5 linked regions of the Macaca fascicularis genome follow. The protein of the gene in region 1 purifies or fractionates together with the protein of each later gene. This does not show direct contact. Links are inferred from orthologs where the notes say so. Each region holds a gene or a part of one and is shown on either strand. Other genes may lie near its edges. The genes, in order: ANAPC16, ANAPC7, ANAPC2, ANAPC13 and CDC27.

The links.
Region 2: the proteins of ANAPC16 (region 1) and ANAPC7 purify together in Homo sapiens (affinity purification with mass spectrometry; 6 studies listed by BioGRID and IntAct, with this or other methods). This does not show direct contact. The link is inferred for Macaca fascicularis from reciprocal best matches to the Homo sapiens genes ANAPC16 and ANAPC7.
Region 3: the proteins of ANAPC16 (region 1) and ANAPC2 purify together in Homo sapiens (co-immunoprecipitation; 5 studies listed by BioGRID and IntAct, with this or other methods). This does not show direct contact. The link is inferred for Macaca fascicularis from reciprocal best matches to the Homo sapiens genes ANAPC16 and ANAPC2.
Region 4: the proteins of ANAPC16 (region 1) and ANAPC13 purify together in Homo sapiens (affinity purification with mass spectrometry; 3 studies listed by BioGRID and IntAct, counting the BioPlex papers as one, with this or other methods). This does not show direct contact. The link is inferred for Macaca fascicularis from reciprocal best matches to the Homo sapiens genes ANAPC16 and ANAPC13.
Region 5: the proteins of ANAPC16 (region 1) and CDC27 purify together in Homo sapiens (affinity purification with mass spectrometry; 10 studies listed by BioGRID and IntAct, with this or other methods). This does not show direct contact. The link is inferred for Macaca fascicularis from reciprocal best matches to the Homo sapiens genes ANAPC16 and CDC27.

The regions. Positions count from the first base shown.
Region 1 is NC_088383.1:74,199,917-74,203,949, forward strand, and holds the start of ANAPC16 (anaphase-promoting complex subunit 16), read right to left. Parts: upstream 2,807-4,033; 5' UTR 2,752-2,806; exon of another isoform or gene 2,527-2,751; intron 508-2,526; exon of another isoform or gene 216-507; intron 1-215. UniProt on the Homo sapiens protein: Component of the anaphase promoting complex/cyclosome (APC/C), a cell cycle-regulated E3 ubiquitin ligase that controls progression through mitosis and the G1 phase of the cell cycle.
Region 2 is NC_088385.1:117,249,531-117,252,473, forward strand, and holds part of ANAPC7 (anaphase-promoting complex subunit 7), read right to left. Parts: intron 2,170-2,943; coding exon 1,945-2,169; intron 305-1,944; coding exon 154-304; intron 1-153. UniProt on the Homo sapiens protein: Component of the anaphase promoting complex/cyclosome (APC/C), a cell cycle-regulated E3 ubiquitin ligase that controls progression through mitosis and the G1 phase of the cell cycle.
Region 3 is NC_088389.1:2,128,417-2,132,466, reverse strand, and holds the start of ANAPC2 (anaphase-promoting complex subunit 2), read right to left. Parts: upstream 2,811-4,050; 5' UTR 2,768-2,810; coding exon 2,651-2,767; intron 2,339-2,650; coding exon 1,716-2,338; intron 420-1,715; coding exon 287-419; intron 1-286. Other genes in the region: microtubule nucleation factor SSNA1, read left to right, coding at 2,961-3,012, 3,302-3,501, 4,027-4,050. UniProt on the Homo sapiens protein: Together with the RING-H2 protein ANAPC11, constitutes the catalytic component of the anaphase promoting complex/cyclosome (APC/C), a cell cycle-regulated E3 ubiquitin ligase that controls progression through mitosis and the G1 phase of the cell cycle.
Region 4 is NC_088376.1:37,392,885-37,397,063, forward strand, and holds the start of ANAPC13 (anaphase-promoting complex subunit 13), read right to left. Parts: upstream 2,811-4,179; 5' UTR 2,704-2,810; intron 2,674-2,703; coding exon of another isoform or gene 2,340-2,673; exon of another isoform or gene 2,168-2,339; coding exon of another isoform or gene 1,994-2,167; exon of another isoform or gene 1,459-1,993; intron 1-1,458. Other genes in the region: CEP63 (centrosomal protein of 63 kDa), read left to right, coding at 2,340-2,615. UniProt on the Homo sapiens protein: Component of the anaphase promoting complex/cyclosome (APC/C), a cell cycle-regulated E3 ubiquitin ligase that controls progression through mitosis and the G1 phase of the cell cycle.
Region 5 is NC_088390.1:68,162,517-68,166,670, forward strand, and holds the start of CDC27 (cell division cycle protein 27 homolog), read right to left. Parts: upstream 2,804-4,154; 5' UTR 2,681-2,803; coding exon 2,654-2,680; exon of another isoform or gene 2,427-2,653; intron 1-2,426. UniProt on the Homo sapiens protein: Component of the anaphase promoting complex/cyclosome (APC/C), a cell cycle-regulated E3 ubiquitin ligase that controls progression through mitosis and the G1 phase of the cell cycle.

The sequences.
Region 1 (4,033 bases):
CATTTCACAGAAACCAGATTCCTTAAAAGTCATCTAACCCAACTTCCTCATTTTATACATGAAAAAATAAAACTGAGGTGTAGAGACAATTTTAGCTTATCTGCTGTGACATTCTGAAGCAATGGCTTGTTGGCATGTCATTTGTCATGTGCAAGGTAAAGCAGCATAGTGGGTAAGATTATGAAGCCTCTCTGAGTTCTGGTTTTGCTACTTACTTGCTGCAAGACTGTGGACAAATCATTTCACCCATTTATGCCTAGTGTTCCATTATTGGAACGCTAAGCATGTGGGAGTTATTTATATCGTACTGCTCAAGGTCATTGCCAAGGTCTGATGGCAAAAATGTAAAAAATTGCAACTTCTGTTTTTTTTTTTTTTTTTTTTTTTTTTTGAGATGGAGTTTCGCTCTTGTTGCCCAGGCTGGAGTGCAACGGCACGATCTTGGCTCACCGCAACCTCCGCGTCCGCCTCCCACTTCGGGATCTTTTTGTTCCTTGGTTGTCTTATCTGCAAAACGGGAAACAGGTTGAGTACCCTTCATCCCAAATGCTTGGGACTGGAGGTATTTTGGATTTCGGATTTTTTCCCAGGTTTTGGGATATTTGCATTATACGTAACGATTAAGCCTCCCAAATCCGAAAATCTAAAATTCAAAATGCTCCAAAAAGCACTTCCTTTGACCATCCCGTCAGTGCTCAAGTTTTAAATTTTGGAGGATTTTGGATTTCTAGATTAAGGATACTCAACCTGTAATAACATCACCTACCTCACACAGGTGTGACAAAGATTAATTAATACACGTAAAACACTTGGAATGGTTACAGGCTTAGTAAACACTTCATAAATCTTGGCTGTTCAAAATCATTAACGGAGAGTTACTCCTGAGTGTTTTTTCCTATGCAGATCCCAGTTTTTCATACTTACTATGAAAAAAATTCATGGAAAAAGTCTTAATTCTCTCCATCTAACAGAGTTAGCAAGCTCCCAGAGGGGAAAGAATCTGCTCAGGAGGAGGGCCAATACCTTCTATTAAGCACTTTACACTTTCATTTTTATTTATTTATTTTTTTTGAGACGGAGTCTCGCTCTATTAAGTGCTTCTATTAAGCACTCCAGGCTGGAGTGCAGTGGTGCGATCTCGGCTCACAGCAAGCTCTGCTTCCCGGGTTCACGCCATTCTCCCGTCTCAGCCTCCCGAGTTGCTGGGACTACAGGCGCCCGCCACCACTCCCGGCTAATTTTTTGTATTTTTTTTAAGTAGAAACGGGGTTTCACCATGTTAGCCAGGAAAATCTTGATCTCCCGACCTCGTGATCAGGCCCGCCTCGGCCTCCCAAAGTGCTGGGATTACAGGTGTGAGCCACTGCGCCCGGCCTACACTTTCATTTTAAGGTTCATGATCTTAAGAAACATCCTGCCACCTTCGAAGTCTTTCTACCCTCAATGCCGAGCACAGAACCTGGGTCACAGTGTTTCCACAGTGCTTCCTGAGCATTTCGGATGAATGAATGAAGAACAAATGACAGAACGCAGGGCTCAGCAAAGGTTATGCAGGAGATAGACAAGCGTGGTGTCATCAGTATTGGTTCATTACGGATTTTTTTTCTCATTGTGCAGATCTATTCGCACAACTCTATTTTCAACTAGTCTGAGAGGCCCACCGGAGGTGCTCAGTAATGTTCTGTTGAACAAATACTGATGAAGTATCCTGGGATTTGGCCCTGTCAGGGAAGTTGGGGCTGACAGTGGAGATCCTCACAGGAGAGTAACGATGCTTTGTGGACAGATTGCTGTGTCCGAGCTAAGATGCTTAAACATTTACTTCATGTACGGCAGGGATGACCTCGCATTCATAGTTTTTTTTTTTTTGAGACGGAGTCTCCCTCTGTCGCCCAGGCCAGAATGCAGTGGCACAATCTCGGCTCACTGCCAGCTCCGCCTCCCGGGTTCACGCCATTCTCCTGCCTCAGCCTCCCCAGTAGCTGGGACTACAGGCGCCTGCCACCACGCCCAGCTAATTTTGTTTTGTATTTAACACGGTGAAACCCCGTGTTAGCCAGTATGGCCTCGATCTCCTGACCTCGTGATCCGCCAGCCTCGGCCTCCCAAAGTGCTGGGATTACAGGCGTGGGCCACCGCGCCCGGCCTTCATAGTTTTATGAATATAAATTCCTTTCCTTTCTAACAGACATATGCCTATTTTCTTAAAAAGAGTAATTCCTTAAAAGTTCCTACCCTAGTACAAAGGCAAATCATTACAAGCAATCATTAAATTCCATCATCAAAAAATCGTTCCACTTCAAAACAGCTGGATTACAACCCAAACCAAACAGACGCCGCAGCTGTAACCGGGGGTGGGGTGGGCGTGGAGAGAGAGTGGCCAGAGAGGGGAGCGGTCAGAACACCAGCGGCTCCCAAGCTAACTCCTAGCCACATTTCCCACCCAGCTGGGTCCACAGGAAACGACGCCATCGGCGCTGTCCCACTGCGCAGGCGCCACCCCTTGGCCCGCATGCGCACTCAGTCAAACCCGGCCTGGGAAAATTTCCTGTCGCACGTCTGCTACAGCAGTCTCCTGTTTCTCCTCCTACCTTCTCCATTTTTCTAGTCCCTGCAGGTAGGATCCTAAGGGTTAACTCCCTTTTCACCAAGCTCCCCAGGGCCCTTCAGCCCTCGGCCTCTTACCTCAGCGGCTTTAGCACTTTCCCCTACAGCCCCGCCCCCAGGACCAGCCGGAGCGGTCACGCTCACCACGACGAGGACGGCGGCGTGCTCGCGCCTCCACGGAGGGGCCTGCGGCGAAGGCGGCGTGCGCGCGCCCGTGCCGTGGTGGGCGTGGCCGGGGCGGAGACGCGAGGAGGGGAGCCGAGAACGCGCTCGTGGAGAGGAATTCCGGTTCCTTTGCCTCCTCGCCGTACCTTGGTTTACCTGCAGCCGCCTAGTCCTCTTCTGCTCCTTCTCTTTGATGATTCGGGGTCTCGGCTTCCCTCACGATATTGCAGAAAGACACGGCTTTCCTCTTCCTCTCCAAACCACCTCGAAGCAGGGTTAAGTTGGTTATTCCCGCCTTTCCTTCCGAGCAGTCTCGTAGCGCAGGGCCATGTAGGACAGGTAGATGCTGCGTTTGCTGTCTCCGCGACGACTACCTGTTTTTCCGGAGCTCTTGTTCTGAGGGCCCGACTTTCACCTTAGTCTGCTTTTGTGGGGAACTTTTTTTTTTTTTAGCTTTCGCCTTGAAAGTGTTTTTTCATTGAGAACTTTAGAGGCCTCAGGGAATAGACCACTGGGTTGTGATGTCATCGACTATTGCTAATGATGTGCTCTTTTCCTCTATCCATGTCGGTTTACCTTCTATGTTGTTATTTCTCACAAAACCTCTTCTTGGTCCTGTAAGCACACAAATAATCAATTATTATTTTATTTTATTTATTTTTTTGAGACGAAGTCTCGCTCTGTCACCCAGGCTGGAGTGCAGTGGCGCGATCTCAGCTCACTGCAACCTCCGCCTCTCAGGCTTAAGCGATTCTCGTGCCACATCAGCCTTCCGAGTAGCTGGGATTACAGGCGCCCGCCACCAAGCCCGGCTACTTTTTGTATTTTCAGTAGAGACGGGTTTCACCATCTTGGCCAGGCTGGTGTTGAACTCCTGACCTCAGATGATCCACCCACCTCGGCCTCCCAAAGTGCTGGGATTACAGACGTGAGCCACCGCGTCCACGTTGGCTTGAGCGTTAGTGTATTTAGTAAGGATCAACTTGTTTTCTTTGGAACTCTTCAGTATTTTGGGCTTCAAGACTAAGCTGTACGTGGTAGGAATACTGGCTGAATTTAACTTCAGCTAGCCTATAAGGAACCTTTGTTTCCTAAATTATGGATCCATTAAGTGGTGTGACCAGAAGCTTGGCTTCTCAGTGAGTGATGTGCATTTTGTTGGGCAGTGGCCTGTAGAAACTGGATTCCTCCCCTCAGCAGTATATTGGTCTGAGAACCATATTGGTTAAGTTGTTATTAATTTACTGCTTTGACAGGCAAC
Region 2 (2,943 bases), on another chromosome or scaffold:
AAATAACTCCTCTACCATTACTATTATTATTCTGCTTTCAACCATGGACACAAAGTGTGTGTGTGTTTCCATAACTCCATAACTCCTGTGACGCAGCTCACTGCCTCCTCTACCCTCCTCAGTGGCCTTCCCCCAAGGGAGGCTAGTGCCTACCTTAGTGCTATACTATACTGGTCCATTGCCTCCTGATACTCATTGACAGCTACAAGGAAATCTCCTAGGATCCGATGCAGGACACAGTCACTCTGATTAGCCAGTGCGTTCCTCAGCAAAGCAATTCCATCTTCATATTTCTGTTCTCTGCCTGGTGGAATAAAAAAGACCCTCACTGTCCTACTTGAACATTTTGAAAATATATTCCCATCTTAAGTCACGTACAAAAAAAACACAACTACCATTCTGACAATCTCTTTGCAGACATCCTCAAGATAACACCGGTGCAACACAAAGCGAGGGCAAGCACACCTGATGTCCTATTCAGTTAAGAAATCTGCAGTTTGAATTACAATGTTTTAAATGGGCTCTTAACTTTATTTTTTTTATTTTTTTTTTGAGACGGAGTCTTGCTCTGTCACCCAGGCTGGAGCGCAGTGGCCGGATCTCAGCTCACTGCAAGCTCCGCCTCCCGGGTTTACGCCATTCTCCTGCCTCAGCCTCCGAGTAGCTGGGACTACAGGCGCCCGCCACCGCGCCCGGCTAGTTTTTTGTATTTTTAGTAGAGACGGGGTTTCACCGTGTTAGCCAGGATGGTCTCGATCTCCTGACCTCGTGATCCGCCCGCCTCGGCCTCCCAAAGTGCTGGGATTACAGGCTTGAGCCACCGCGCCCGGCCTTAATGGGCTCTTAACTTTAAAAAGCCAAATTGCATTTGCCAACTAGCCCAAATTCAATGAACCAAATTATGAGTTCATCATAAATCAGGACTGAAAAAAAAAAAAAAAAAAAACAGGGCCAAATGAGAAGTCATAAAATAATTCAGATAGCACCAAACAGTTCAAACTGGCTAAAACCAGTTAGTTAGATTCAGCTCAAACTAATTCAGGACAACTCAAACCAGATAACAGTGAGCCAAGGCTGGACGCAGCGGCTCACGCCTGTAATCCCACCACTTTGGGAGGCCGAGATGGGTGGATCACGAGGTCAGGAGTTCGAAACCAGCCTGGCCAATATGGTGAAACCCTGTCTCTACTAAAAAAAAAAGAAAAAAAATTAGCTGGGTGTGGTAGTGCATGGCTGTAGACCCAGCTACTCAGGAGGCTGAGGCAGAAAAATCGCTTGAACCTGGGAGGCGGAAGTTGCTGTGGGCTGAGATTGCGCCACTGCACTCCAGCCTGGGTGATAGAGCAAGAGGTCGTCTCAAAAAAAAAAAAAGAAAAAAAAAAAAAAAAAAAAAAAAAAAAAAAAAAAAGGCCGGGCGCGGTGGCTCAAGCCTGTAATCCCAGCACTTTGGGAGGCCGAGGCGGGCGGATCACAAGGTCAGGAGATCGAGACCACAGTGAAACCCCGTCTCTACTAAAAATACAAAAAATTAGCCGGGCGCGGTGGCGGGTGCCTGTAGTCCTAGCTACTCAGGAGGCTGAGGCAGGAGAATGGCGTGAACCCAGGAGGCGGAGCTTGCAGTAAGCCGAGATCGCGCCACTGCACTCCAGCCTGGGCAATAGCGTGAGACTCCATCTCAAAAAAAAAAAAAATAATAATAAAAAATAAAAAAAAAGTGAGCCAAACAGATACCAACCAATTATAGGTGGCTACAGCCAAGCCAAGCAGGTCTAAGCCAGCTACATTTGGTTGGGCTAAATATAAACCAATCCAAGCAGGCTCAGACCTGCTGCAAAACACACACACCTGTCTGGTCATCTGTAACTAGCTGGGACAAGGGTGTCCAATGAGGTCAGGTTTCATAAAAATTAATGATGAATAGGGCAGAAAATAAGACACACTTACTAAGCAGTTCTGCTTTTTTCACCACAGCCTTAATGTAATCTGGCCTTTGGGTCAGGGCTTTATCTAATAACGTTTTGGCTTTCTCCTGTGTCACTGGGTCTTCAAGACAAACGGTGGCTAAAAGGGTAAGGGTCTGTGCATTTGCTCCCAGAGTTTTGTAAACGTTGTTAGCCATTACCATTGCTTCTCGAATACTGTTGGAGGCTAAGTAACACTCGATAAGACCTGAAAAAAGTAAAACACATTAAGACATTCAATGCCATTACCACTTCAACCCATGCTTCCACTCTGACAGCTCTCCAAATTGCTAACCTTCAAAGTTTCAGACGAACGGCAGGCCAGGGGAAACTGATGGTGGGATTAGACAGGCAAGTGTGTTGATGGAATAGCTAAGAAGTGCTCTTCCCCAGAGCACTTGATGGATGTGGAAAAAGACTGCCTTCAAAGGCACCTTCAGTTTAGGGAAGGAAACAAGCACATGTAAGGAACTCACAGCATGTGAGCACCCCATCTGACCGCTGGAAGAATAAATGCGACACTAATGATTAGTTTGTCATATGGCCAAGAGATCAAAGTAGTGAGAGATGATGTTCCCAACAAAACCCAAGGTTTTGCTGCCTCTTAACAAGCTGTTATTCTCCAGCTGCATTCGGTCACCTGCAGGGCTAGGTTTAAGATGGAAGGCTCCTAGGGTCTTTTTTTTTTGAGATGGAGTTTCGCTCTTGTTGCCCAGGCTGGAGTGCAATGGCACCATCTCCACTCACTGCAACCTCCGCCTCCCGGGTTCAAGTGATTCTCCTCCCTCAGCCTCCCGGGTAGCTGGGATTACAGGCATGCGCCACCATGCCCGGCTAGTTTTGTATTTTTAGTAGAGACGGGGTTTCTCCATGTTGGTCAGGCTGGTCTCGAACTCCTGACCTCAGGTGATCCGCCTAGCTTGGCCTCCCAAAGTGCTGGGATTACAGGTATGAGCCACCGTGCCTGGCCTGGCTCCTAGAG
Region 3 (4,050 bases), on another chromosome or scaffold:
GCTTCGTCACACCTGCCTGGGGCAGCCCCTGGGGACCCTGGCCCGGTATTGACTGCAGCCATGGGATTCTGAGCAGATCTGGTGAGCGCACCTCAGATGTGTCCTCGCTGTCACCAGGGCCCAGAAGTACTGGTCTCTACCCGACATCAAAACAGCTCCAGCCACCACCCGGTCCAGGCCAACCCAGGCCTCCACGCTCTGGATGCTTCCAAAGCCAGGTGTCAGGTTTGCCAGAAACCTACTCCCCTGTCCCCAGCGGGGCACAGCCCAAAGGAGGGGCCCTCACCTTGTGGAACTCACGCAGGAAGGAGCGCTCGTACTCGCCTCGGCAACGGTCCTCCATCCTCTCCCGGGTCACCTGGTGTAGGGTGGTGGTCACAGCCTCGGCACTGACCCGCTCCAGCAGACTGAGCCTGTGTCTAGAGGAGAGTCCTAGCCATGGGGCACCCACAGCACACACCGGCCCCTCTAGCCCAGAACAGCCCCATGCCAGGACGGTCCTGCCTGTAGAGTGCATGCAGCACACACACGCACACCCCCACAACCAGCACGCACCTCCCCACAATCCTCAGCTGTGGGGGCCACTGTGCCTGCCAGCCCCGAACCAGGGCCTCTGCGACCCCTGAGGAATTTCCAGGCAGCCATGTCAAGGTCCTCAATCCAACACATTCTCCACTGAACAGCCCTGGGGAGTGTCTGTTCCTTGTCAGGGGAAAGGCCAGGACAGCACAGAGCCACTCTCCTTGCCTGGTTGGCCTGGAGCGCTGGTACCAAAGGCTTCAAGAAGCCACTCGGAGCACAGAGCACTCCCAGGCTCTGCTGTCCCCACCCAGCTGGCCTCTGACCAGGTAGGGACACTGGACTTCCCCATGTGATCAGTGGCAGCAGGTGTGGCTGTCAGGGGCCCTACCCTTATCTCCTAGGATCAACTCTGAAACGACACCCAGTTGCACCGCTGCCCTGGCCCCAGAGACACAGATGCCACTGTTTGTGCCTTTCAGTGCAGTCTGTGGTCTACAGTGGCAAAAAGACTCCAGAGGAGAATGAGAAAGGTTGCTGTGTAACTTTTGCTGGGATGAGCCCAACAGAAGCCCCTCATGGTCACCCTGACCTCTGCCAGCAACAGGACCACTCCTTTAGTCCACCTAAGACCTCTCAAATAGCTGCGTGGCCATACCTCTGTTCAATGTGACAAAGCCACCACAAATGGCCGAGGGTGTGACAATTGCTAGAGGACTACAACAGGACCTGTCTCTCACAACAAAACCCTCTCCTCTCCAGAGAACCAGACAGGAGACCACTTGCCCTCACAGTGACCTGATCTCCCTGGAGAGAAGCAGCAGCAGGCTTCTGTTCACAATTACAGGGCAAGGAATGTCGACGAGGGTGAGAATCATTCCTTGCCTCAGGGTCGACAAAAGTCACAGTGGAATTCTGCAGAGTTCAGAAAGTTTGGAGTCGCTAAGAAATTTGCTGCTGCAGACAAAAGCCACATAGGGCCTTACCATGGGCAAGGCATGAATCCGTGGGACTGCAGGTGAGTGACAGAAGAGAGACACCTGTGTCCAGGACACACTGCACAGGAACCCCAGGGACTCTCTCTCTGTCATGTTCCTGGTTATCAGGACGGCTCACCAGCTTTCTGCAGAGGCCAGCTGGACCCAGGGGAGCAACCAGTAGGAGCGAGAGCACGGCCATCAGGACAGACTACTCACAAGACCTGGCTGAGCTGATGGAACTGCTCCAGAGCCTGGCGACACCAGCACTGTTGCTTGTCACTGCTGCACCCTGCGCACAGCGGGCTCTGCAGGAGCCGGTAGTACCGGCGACGGGCATACCGGCTGTCCAGCTCCCCCTCCAGTTCCGGGTCTGTGCCCCCTTCCCCCTTCCTCTTACTCTGCATATAGACTCTCAAGAAGCACCCATACAGACGCTGGATCATCTCTTGGAAGGTTCTGGGGGTACTAAAGAACAAGACTCCGCGCAACATAGTGTGGACTTTTTCTCGCAGCCCCTGAGCACCAGTGCCCATCAGCAAGCCCAGGCGAGTCCATTTCTCCAGCAGCTCTAGGCTACGCAGGTAGGGATCCAGGCGGCTCTCCAGCAGGCCAAAAGCGTCAAGGAGCAGCAGAAGGCACTGGGGCTCATCCGTAGAGTTCTCGCATTGGGAGATGGCATTCCAGAACTCAGGGGAGATGTTGGCCTGCAGATCGTTCTGCAGCACCTCTACGAACCACTCCTCCAGGACCGAGTGCAGGCCGTGGCCCCTCAGAACCTCCACCGCCGCCCGGAGCTCCTCTTCCTTTGGCGGGACTGCACCGCTGGTCCGGGAAGACACCTGGAGCGCAGAAAACCGTGAAGCGAGGGGAACACAACATAGAGGTGGGGAGAGGCGGGGAAGGGAAGAAGCTGAGGGGTAGGCTGCAAAAACTCCGCTGCCCCCTGTCCGTGGTGTCCGGACGTTGGGCCGAAACTAGGGAAGGGCTGCCAGCGGAGCTGAACGAAATGAAGTGGAATGGCGGTGGAAAGCGGCAGGACAGGGCAGAGGCGGATGACGGACAGAGCTGTATGAACCCGAAGGTGGCCGCCCCAAAGTGCATAGGGTCCCGGAAACTCCGCGCGGGGCCGCCGCTCTCTTCCCAGGCCTCACCAGCCCCAGCGCAGCTGGCGGCACCAGGCCGGTGCTCACGGTATTCCAGGCCACTAACAACTCCTGTCCGGGCCGGGAGTCGCTGTCCCCCTCCGCCACCACAACTGCCGCCGCCATCTGCAGCCACCGGCTCCGAGATCCCCTCGGCACGGCGCAAAGCGATGACGCAAGTCTGCACGCGCAGCCATGACGCGCACAAGGCGCTCAGCGATGACGCGTAGTTCGGCGCGCCGTCAGGGAGTCGTGCGCAGGCGCGGACAGCGCTGGTTCCGCGTCGGTTGGGGTGGCGGGGCCCCGGGCGGCGTAGACCATGACCCAGCAGGGCGCGGCGCTGCAGAACTACAACAACGAGCTGGTCAAGTGTGAGCGGCGCAGCCGGGACGGGGAGGTCGGGAGGGCCGCAGGGCCGGGTTCCCGGCTCGCAGCGGGGTGCCCCTGGACCCGCCTAGTTGCGGGCATCGCGCAGCTGAGCAGAGCCCTCCGTGCCGGGGGCTGGGTGTCCGTGGCCCCGAGCCCTCGTTGGCTCGCAGGCCCCGCGCCGGGTGCTCGGGGGTGGTGCCTGACTCTGGCTTCCTCGGGTGGAAGGAGGCCCGCCCTCCGCCGCCGCGCTCCTGCCCTGGGCCCACAGCCCCGCCCCTCCTGGCCCCCCAGGCATAGAGGAGCTGTGCCAGAAGCGGGAAGAGCTGTGCCGGCAGATCCAGGAGGAGGAGGACGAGAAGCAGCGGCTGCAGAATGAGGTGAGGCAGCTGACGGAGAAGCTGGCCCGCGTCAACGAGAACCTGGCACGCAAGATTGCCTCTCGCAACGAGTTCGACCGGACCATCGCGGAGACGGAGGCCGCCTACCTCAAGGTGGAGCTCGGGAGGCCAGGCGGAGCATCAGGGGATAGCCGCGGCAGGGGTGTAGCCGCGGCAGGGCGTCAGGACCGTCTGGGGCTCCCAGCTGTGGGCAGTCTGTGCCTCGCTGACATGTCGGGCAGGAGCAGCGTGGCCAGGCCCATTGAGGAACCCAGGCTGCTGCGGGAGTGACCGTGGGGCTGTCTGGGGGACCTGGGGCATCCTGGGTCCTGGTCTTCATCCGGTTCTCGCTAGCCATGTGGTTCTTTCTGCTTAGAGTGTGAAGAGCCACGTCTTGGGCCAGTGCTAACCCAGCCTGGCTTTGAGGGTGGGGAGGAAGTGTTCTGGGTCAGATTCAGGAGGGAAGAGGGCCCTGTTACCCCGTCTGCCAGTCCCCTTGGGCTTCCGCCTTCCCCCGCACAGGATCCCTTGGCTACAGCACCCACAGCCAGGTCCCAGAACCTGAGTGTGAGGACAGCTGGGGCTTAGGAACTTCCCAGCAGGTGAACAGTAACAACTTCCTCACTTCTCTGGCCCCAGATTCTGGAGAGCTCCCAGACTTTG
Region 4 (4,179 bases), on another chromosome or scaffold:
TGGCGGGGGCGGGGTGGAACCCACCATCTTGAGGTGCTTTTTTCAGAGCTCAGCCTGGGTGCTATTTTAAGGAAGGAAGCCTTTTCCTTTACAAGGTCAACTTCAGACATCGTCTTGCCTTGAGGATTTGTGTCAGGTCTGTAGTTGGTCCCTTCCCATAGTCCATTTTAGTGTTATCTCAGTATGTTCATGAGCTCCTGTGCCTAAGAATGCTGAGGTTTGGGCCAAGGCAGGTGGAAGTTTTTGTAAAAATGGCTCACATGGCCGGGCGCGGTGGCTCACGCCTGTAATCCCAGCACTTTGGGAGGCCGAGGTGGGCGGATCACGAGGTCAGGAGATCGAGACTATCCTGGCTAACACGGTGAAACCCCGTCTCTACTAAAAACACAAAAAATTAGCCGGGCGTGGTGGCAGGCACCTGTAGTCCCAGCTATTCGGGAGGCTGAGGCAGGAGAATGGCATGAACCCGGGAGGCGGAGCTTGCAATGAGCCGAGATCTGGCCACTGCACTCCAGCCTGGGTGACAGAGCAAGACTCCGTCTCAAAAAAAAAAAAAAAAAAAAAAGACTTGGTCTCAAAAAAAAAAAAAAAAAAAAGGCTCACAGATGTCCCCCATAGGATAACTGCAAGATATCCCCAACACCTTGGCAAAAATTATACACAGATTGGTGTGTAGGAAAGGGTTTAAAAGATCTGGGCAAAACTTAAGCAAAACGCGCCCTGCTACTTGTCACCGGTGAGCCAGGTGAGGGCTTAATTAATCCAGTACTCAATAATTAACCCCCTACTACCCAGTGGATAACTCAAAGCAAGACGAAGTTTTGGTTATACTTTTGAAGTCCCTGTCTTATAAGAGCTCCCCACTTTCCTGCTGCTACTCCTTTGTCCTTGCTGCTGTGTCTCCTGGGATACCCTTTTCACTTTCCTCAGCTGATCCAAACCTGACTTTCCCAGGCCCACATAGGTTTTCCACCTTTTAGTAAGGTTTTCTCAGATCACTCGAGCTTCAGTAGGCCTTCTATCCTTGAACTCTTGCTTCTTGTCCTAACTTAAATCTACTAAACAAGCTTTGTGATCAATTGCTCAGGTATTATTGTCTCCAACTGTTATGTGTACATTTTGTACCCAGGATTCCTTAGTAGATCTTTCTACAATTTGGCCTCAATCTTTTTCACCTGTCCCTTCTCCAAACACCTCAAACCCTGTCACATTTTCCAGCCTTGACAGTTAAAACCCCCCTTTCCACATCACTAATGCCACTCTTCCTTTCAAGATCAACGCAGGCGTCAGCTCTTGGAGGTCAACATCCCATTTCCGGGGTTAGGCGTGAAGGTGCCTTCACTCTTAAGGGGCTGGAAGGATGGAAAGCAACAAGATAATCAACGCCCAAGGCACAGCCACCGTCCCAAGTACTCGTCACACAATACGACAACTGTTTCCTGAACAAACTTTTCTTACACGTGACAGTCCCGATGCCTGCAATGCTGTTTGTTTCTTCCTTTTTATTCCAGCGAACCCATAGTCAGTCTAAAAATCTCAGGTCTCAAGTCGCTTCCTGCAGGAGGCCGCCTCCAAACCTCAGGCTGAGCGCGGTCCCGGTACCCACCGGGGATCTCATAGTTCCCTAAGCACAGAGCATGGCACCAACTAGGTAGCCTGTCAAACAGCCCAGATGTATGTCTTTCCAGACACGCAGTGCCTGCGTTTCCCGGGACAGGGACATGTCTTATCCATTTCTATACATTATAGCTTTGTAAACATGTATCTGTAAGGTCAAAGCGGGAAAAATATTGTTCCTTGCTAGAAATGAGCCTCGCAGGCCACCACACTGTACGAGAGGCCGCCCCTCAGCCGCGGCTTCCGGCCTGACGCAGGATGTACCAAACGTGGAAGCGGAGACGGGGAGGTCTGGGGTGCCAAGCAAGTCCCTTTCCTCCCGACACAGCGTGCAGTAAAGAAAACGGTTATGAGCGTAAAGTGACAGCCTCGGCCGATGGAAATAGGGGGAAGTCCGACACTGAGCCACGAACGCATTCCCGCGCCTCCAAAACCTAGGCCGGGGGCGCTGCAAACCCTTACCGTTACGCGGCCCAGCGCGGCAGACGCTTCCTCCTGCCTCGCACCGCATCACGCGTCTGCACGCTCTTTCTCGGATTCCCGGATGTGGGTGAGTCCATTTGCTCGCGTGCAGGGGAAGTCTGGAGCAGACATTGATTCAATTATTAAAAGTGTGGGGGCAGTGGGCGGAACGAACGCTCCGACTGCTGAGGCTGGACGTAAGCTTAGTGGTGGCGCGCGTGCGCAGTGCACGGCCGAGGTAACGGCGGGAAGGCTGAGGGATGCGCTTGCTGCAGCCGTGTAACCGCCCGTGCGCAAGACGGAAGCGCAAGGGGCGAGCGCGTCCTGGTCCGGAGGCGGCCCAGGCTGCCTTGGTGACTCTGGCTTCGCGGCCTCATGGCTTGCGGCCGGTTCGCGCAACAGTCTGCGAACCACCAGGCGCCTCCCCGCCGGCTCGCGTCCGCCCCGGAGCCCCGTCCCTCGGCCTGGCCCGCTATGCCCTGCACACCGGCGTAGTCCGGCATGGCGCAGCCCGGCGCGCGGTTCGGCCCCGCCAGGTGGTCACAGCGTTTCCTCGGAGGCCGGGTGGCTGGGGGCGCTTCGGAGAGTAGCCAGGTGGGCGGGCGAGCTGCGCCCAGTACTCACCTTTCCCGGCGGACCCACCTTTCTTTTCAGCGGAGGTACCCCTGTGCGGCCTCCCGGCCAGGGCTGCTGTTTAGCTAGCGCTGTTAGGACTACTTCATTCACGGCACAAGGGGACCCGCTCATTTAGGGTGGCATGTTAAGGTTGGCAGCTTTTAAAATAGTGAGTTGGTGTAAACGGTTATGTTTAGTACAGCAGGTACGGAATTATGGCAGAAATCGTGGACTGAAATTGGAGAACCCTGAACTAACTGCTCCATGCACACAGATCAGGGATAGAAAGAAACAAGGACGGTTTCTTAGGAACACTTTAATCATGGAGATACTTGAAGACAGTACATTTAGGCTTATAATGTGGTTTTTTTTATGTCGTATACGACATCAGGAGAGTAAAGATGTGTATGATGTCAGAGACTAGTCATCTTGTATAGTTTAAGCACCGTACACTAATATGCACAAAGTAGTTTTCCCTGAGCTTTATGTCCGGTTAAACTTATTAAAAGAATTTATTCTTTTATAAAGCAGTATTGTAGGGTAGATGCTCTGTATTTATACAGTTCCTCACGTGCTTGCGTTTATTTTTTAGGTAAGAGAAAATCAAGGATCGTTGATTAGATTTCTGTTAGCTGTAGCTTAATAGTAAAACAAAGTATATATATTTTCTTATTTGGAATGCAGTACTATTTTTAGATTAATTTTTGAGATTGCCTTTTGACTGTGGCATGATCAGTGATCAGGGTAGTAAAAAAGGCTCTGAAACTAAAATGGGGTAGAGATTTATAAACAGGCACACTGCCTTTTAAAATGTATGTAGATGCAACTCTAAAAGTTGTTTGTAAAAATTGTATATGTTGATTGTACTGATGCCATTTTCTCTCTTTAAAAGGTGGAATGCCTTTGCTTAGTCCTTTCTGTTCTAATTTACGTTGTGCTGGCAGATGGTGACAGCATCAGTAGTCCACTCTGTCATTGCTTCCTGCTTTCAAAAAATGTCAACTTGATTTGGAATTCAGCTAAAGCCAACATTGACACAAGGTTTCAGGAACTGAATTTCCGATCTTTATGTTATTTTAGTCCCCTGCCCGCCCCCGTCAGGAGCTAGGTCTTTCAGTTTTGCAAAGCCACACTACTGTCATTACACATACACAAATTAATGAAAATTCTCTAATGTCAATGTCCAGTCAGATTACGATTTCTTCAACTCTCTCTTAAATGTCTTTTTTGCAGTTAGCTTGTTTGAACCAAAATCCCACAGGGATCTGCCTGTTGTGTTTGGGTGATGCATATTTGACATCTTTTAATCTATAGCAGTTCCCTCATAGCTATAGCTATGGGATTAGCCCCTATTTTTCCTTACAGTTCTAAATTTAGCAGATTACATTGCACAGTATCCTTTAACAGGTATCTCTGTTGCCTTTATGGCTTCTAAACCAGGGGCCCCCAAACCCGGGGCTGCAGAGCACTACCAGTCCGTGGCCT
Region 5 (4,154 bases), on another chromosome or scaffold:
GCTTCTTTTTAAAAAACCAATTTCATCAGATGACTTTTCCAAAAAGCTCTCACTGAAGTCACTTAGCCTAGTGTGTCTTTCCAAATAGTTACTATTAAAAATAAAGGAACTGACAGAACTTCTGCCTCATATTTGAGACTTTTATAAGGACTCAAATATAAAGTAATACTCTTCTGAGAAGTGGTAATTTGAGATGGAGTTTTAATTTAGGCATATATGGTATATCAGCCTGGCCATTCTACGTTAAAACTTTAAAGAAAAAAAAATGCAGAAAACAGTTGTTCATCTTTTCTGTGAACTTCTTCCTATGCCTAGTAATACCATCAACTCTGAGGCATTCCAAGAAAGAACAATTTTCCAACTTACTCTCACTGCTTTCCAAATACATGCAATCAGTCATCATAGTTTTTTGTTTTTGTTTTTTTTTAAATAAAGACAGTATCTTATGTGTCTGTCCTATTTTTATTCTCTTCCTAATTCTTTCCCATTTGCAGCACTATCCCTGATCATTGATCTTTATCATTGTAGTTAAAGTTGCTTGTTCTTCTCACTGCTCCAAATCCCTTCTTGAATGGCTTCTTCTTATACTATACAACCAAAATTTTTACCTAGTTATATCCTAAAACTTTCTACCACTATCTCAAAAATCTAATGGACAATGCTAGTATGAAAAAGAAGCAAATTTGACATTTAAGCCTTAAAAATATTGAAGTGTGTTACTGCTAAGAGTACTTTAAGGGCAAATAGGAAACCTAATGGGTACTATCTAGAAATAGGATACATATTCCTTTTCTTTTCCATGCTTTTATTATTTATTTATTTATTTATTTATTTTGAGACGGAGTCTCACTCTGTCACCCAGGCTGGAGAGAAGCGGGACCATGTCAGCTCACTGCAACCTCCATCTCCTGGGTTCAGGCAATTCTCCTGCCTCAGCCTGCCGAGTAGCTGGGATTACAGGCGCCCACCACCACGCCCGGCTCATTTTTTAATATTTTTAGTAGAGACGGGGTTTCCCCGTGTTGGCCAGGCAGGTCTTGAACTCCTGACCTCAGGTGATCCACCCACCTCGGCCTCCCAAAACGTTGGGATTACAGGTGTAAACCACCGCGCCCGGCCTTCCATGCTTTTATAAAGTCTGAAATTATTATTAAATGGTGGTTATCGTCTATCAGTGCAACTAGTTTATCACTTTAGAAGACTTCTGGGGCCAGAGAAGGCAAAAAAAAAAAAAAAAAAAAAAAAAAATCATTATTAAAACAAAATTACAAGAATATGCAACAGAAATTAAATAACTTGAGTAATCTGCTTATCTATTTAAGTTCATGTTAGGCCTTAAAAAATTATATAATTACCTCATCTACAGCCAGAATAAAAAAAAGCCTTAAAAGAAACTATGCTGGTAAAAAGAAATAGCTCTAGAAAAACCGATACAACTTACAGACAGGAAAATTTCATAAGATACAATCTTAACGTTTTATTAATTCAAACACTAATAGCTGCTATATGTAAACAGCTGGAGAAGAAGCCAAACTAGAAGAAATGAGTATTTCATGCTGTTTAGAAAAATGAAATAAATATGAAAGCAGTGACATAATAAAATATTTACTATTTGATACCTCAAGCCTTTTAAGGGCAATATGAAGGAATTTCTAAAAATCGGTTTGCTTTATAACTTCAAAATAAAGTCCAAGACTCAATGACAGTGGTTGATAGAAGTCAATTCTGATCAAGTCAAAGATCACATGGTGGGAGGAAGTCTCCCAGACCTGGTCCATTACCAAGGCACAAAAGATTCAGTTTCTCCAGATGTCAGAGGGGAAAATGACTTGGCACTGCATCACAGACTTAAAATCCAATAGGGTTCCTTTAATGCAACACAGCACTGTGCGTCAAAGCATACCTTGGTGTAAGGGCAGTGAAACAGACACAAACACCACTATTTGTCTTTCATTTCCTGAATGCCTTATAAACATGCACAACAAAATGCTCCTGATCCCCATCAGAGAGGATGAAAACAACCCAGATATGCCCTTTCCACCTCCTCCCCTGGTATTGGTGCTTGCACCTCAGCACTGAGGCTTGGAGTTGTCTTCTCAAACCATCATTGTCCGGTGGGAAATTCACCGAGAAAGGAAACGTGGGAGAGGAAGTCTGTTACCAAAATAGAAATTAGTATTAAAGATACCGATCCTACTCTCCCTCCACTCTCTCACATAAGACAAAAATAAAAAAACCTCCGCAAACTTGCCCTACCATCGCGAAGATCATACAAGCTCCGATCAAATGTGCTTCTCGATCATCTTTTAGGCAAGAGAGCGCCTGGGGTGCGTTTTCGGCCCCTCATCTCCCAACCCCAGTCAAGCCAGGCCCCTGGGCTGACAGGAAGGGCTGGCCGGACGTTGGCTCGGACGGGAAAGACGGTTATTCTCGCCGAAGCCGCTCACACTAAGGGTGAAGTAACGTAGGGCCAGAGGTAACACGGCTTAGGCTGCGGGCAAGGCCTCCGAACTGACGGAAGATAGGCAGGACTCGGCAGCAAGGGAGGCGGTAGAAGCAGCCGGGCCTAGGCCGCACCAGGCCGCGGAGTGGCCCTACGCTGCTTCCCGACTGAGGCTGCAAGCCAAGCCTCAGAGAAGAGGGTTATCATTACCTGAACGGGTTCCTGCAGCACCGTCATCCTCGAGGCTTAGGCCCACTTTCTGCAGTGCCTCAGGCCCCCCCGGTAGCGGCTCCGGCCCGGCCAGCCCCGGCTCATTTAAACTCACCAGCGACCGTTACCGGGGAATGGGGGAGGCCGAGCGATTGCCGAGTGCTTCCGAGCGGGACACGGAAATTCCCGAAGTGGAGAAAGCCGAGCGGGAGCCAGACGGAAAAGCCCGAAAGGGGTCGGAAATACCCGAGGTGGGTCGACGAGAGAGAAAAATCGTTGCCGGAAATTGTCGAAGATTCCCGGAAACTACCGAGTCTAACCCAAAGCGTAGGTTTTCTTCTCAGCCACGCCTTCAGTCACGCACACCACGCCCAATCGGCCGTCCCAGGGCTGGGCCACGCCCAATCGGCAACCAGCAGGCTGGGCGTGGCGTGACTGAGCGGCCCGGGAGCGTTACGTGGCGGGGCTGCAGGGTGGATTCGCCACTCAGCCCTTCTGGGTTAATTGATGTGCTGTAGATTATAAAGCAAAGGGTGAAACAGCAGAGTTTGGGGCAGACTTTAATGAATCAACAAGTATTTGTCTATTGAGTTTAGATCATTCGTCCTTTCCAGAAGTATCTACTCACGGCTCTGGGGAAAGCTAAAGAAATTTGGAAAGATTGCCACTCCAAAGATATTAGGATAGCTTCTGTCCTCAAGGAGGTTAAGGTCTATTTAAGGGAAAAGCAGTGTAACAGAGAACGCTATATTATGTGGTGCCTATTATAAGTAATATAAAAATTCAGAGAGGGAAATTGTGTTAAGATGAGGAAAGTTTTATGGAAGGAAAAAAAAGTTTAAACTGGAGTTTGAAGGATGGGTAGAATCAGAGGAAAAATAAGTATAGGAAAGTGAAGGAAGGAAAAATGAGATCAGCCTGCTGAGAAGGCATTAATTGGAAATAGTTACTTAGGTGAAGAGATCATGGAAAAACTCAATAGGCCGTTAGAAATTTTTATTTTTGACAGGCGAGGCATTCCACTGTGGTGGGAAGAGTAGGGGGTAGGAAATTCAGAGGCCTGATTTTGAATTGTATCTTTAGCACTAACTAGTCATAGGTCCTTGGCAAATTACAACCTCTCTGAACTTGTGTTTGCTTAGTTTGAAAAAAAAGGATTAAGGGAATTTGATGTATTACAAGTGTGGCTGTGTCTAGCACGCAATGTAGACTCTCTTGTATTTCCTTTCTGCTCTTCCTCTCCTCCGAAGGAGAGTGAACTAGGGAACTGTTTAAATTTTGTTTTTCAGCAGAAGAGAAAAACGGTTTTTGAAGGTTACTCTTCTAGTCAGGAGTTCTCTAGGCTAGATGTGAGACTCATGATATATTCCATTGCTTGGAAATTTCCCTTTGGGTGATGTTGGAGGGAGATATTTTTTCTTCCATTTTTAAAAACAAGGCTGACAGAGCTACACTGCATCTTTTTCCACCGCCTTCTCTTGTCACTGTATATGTACTTACA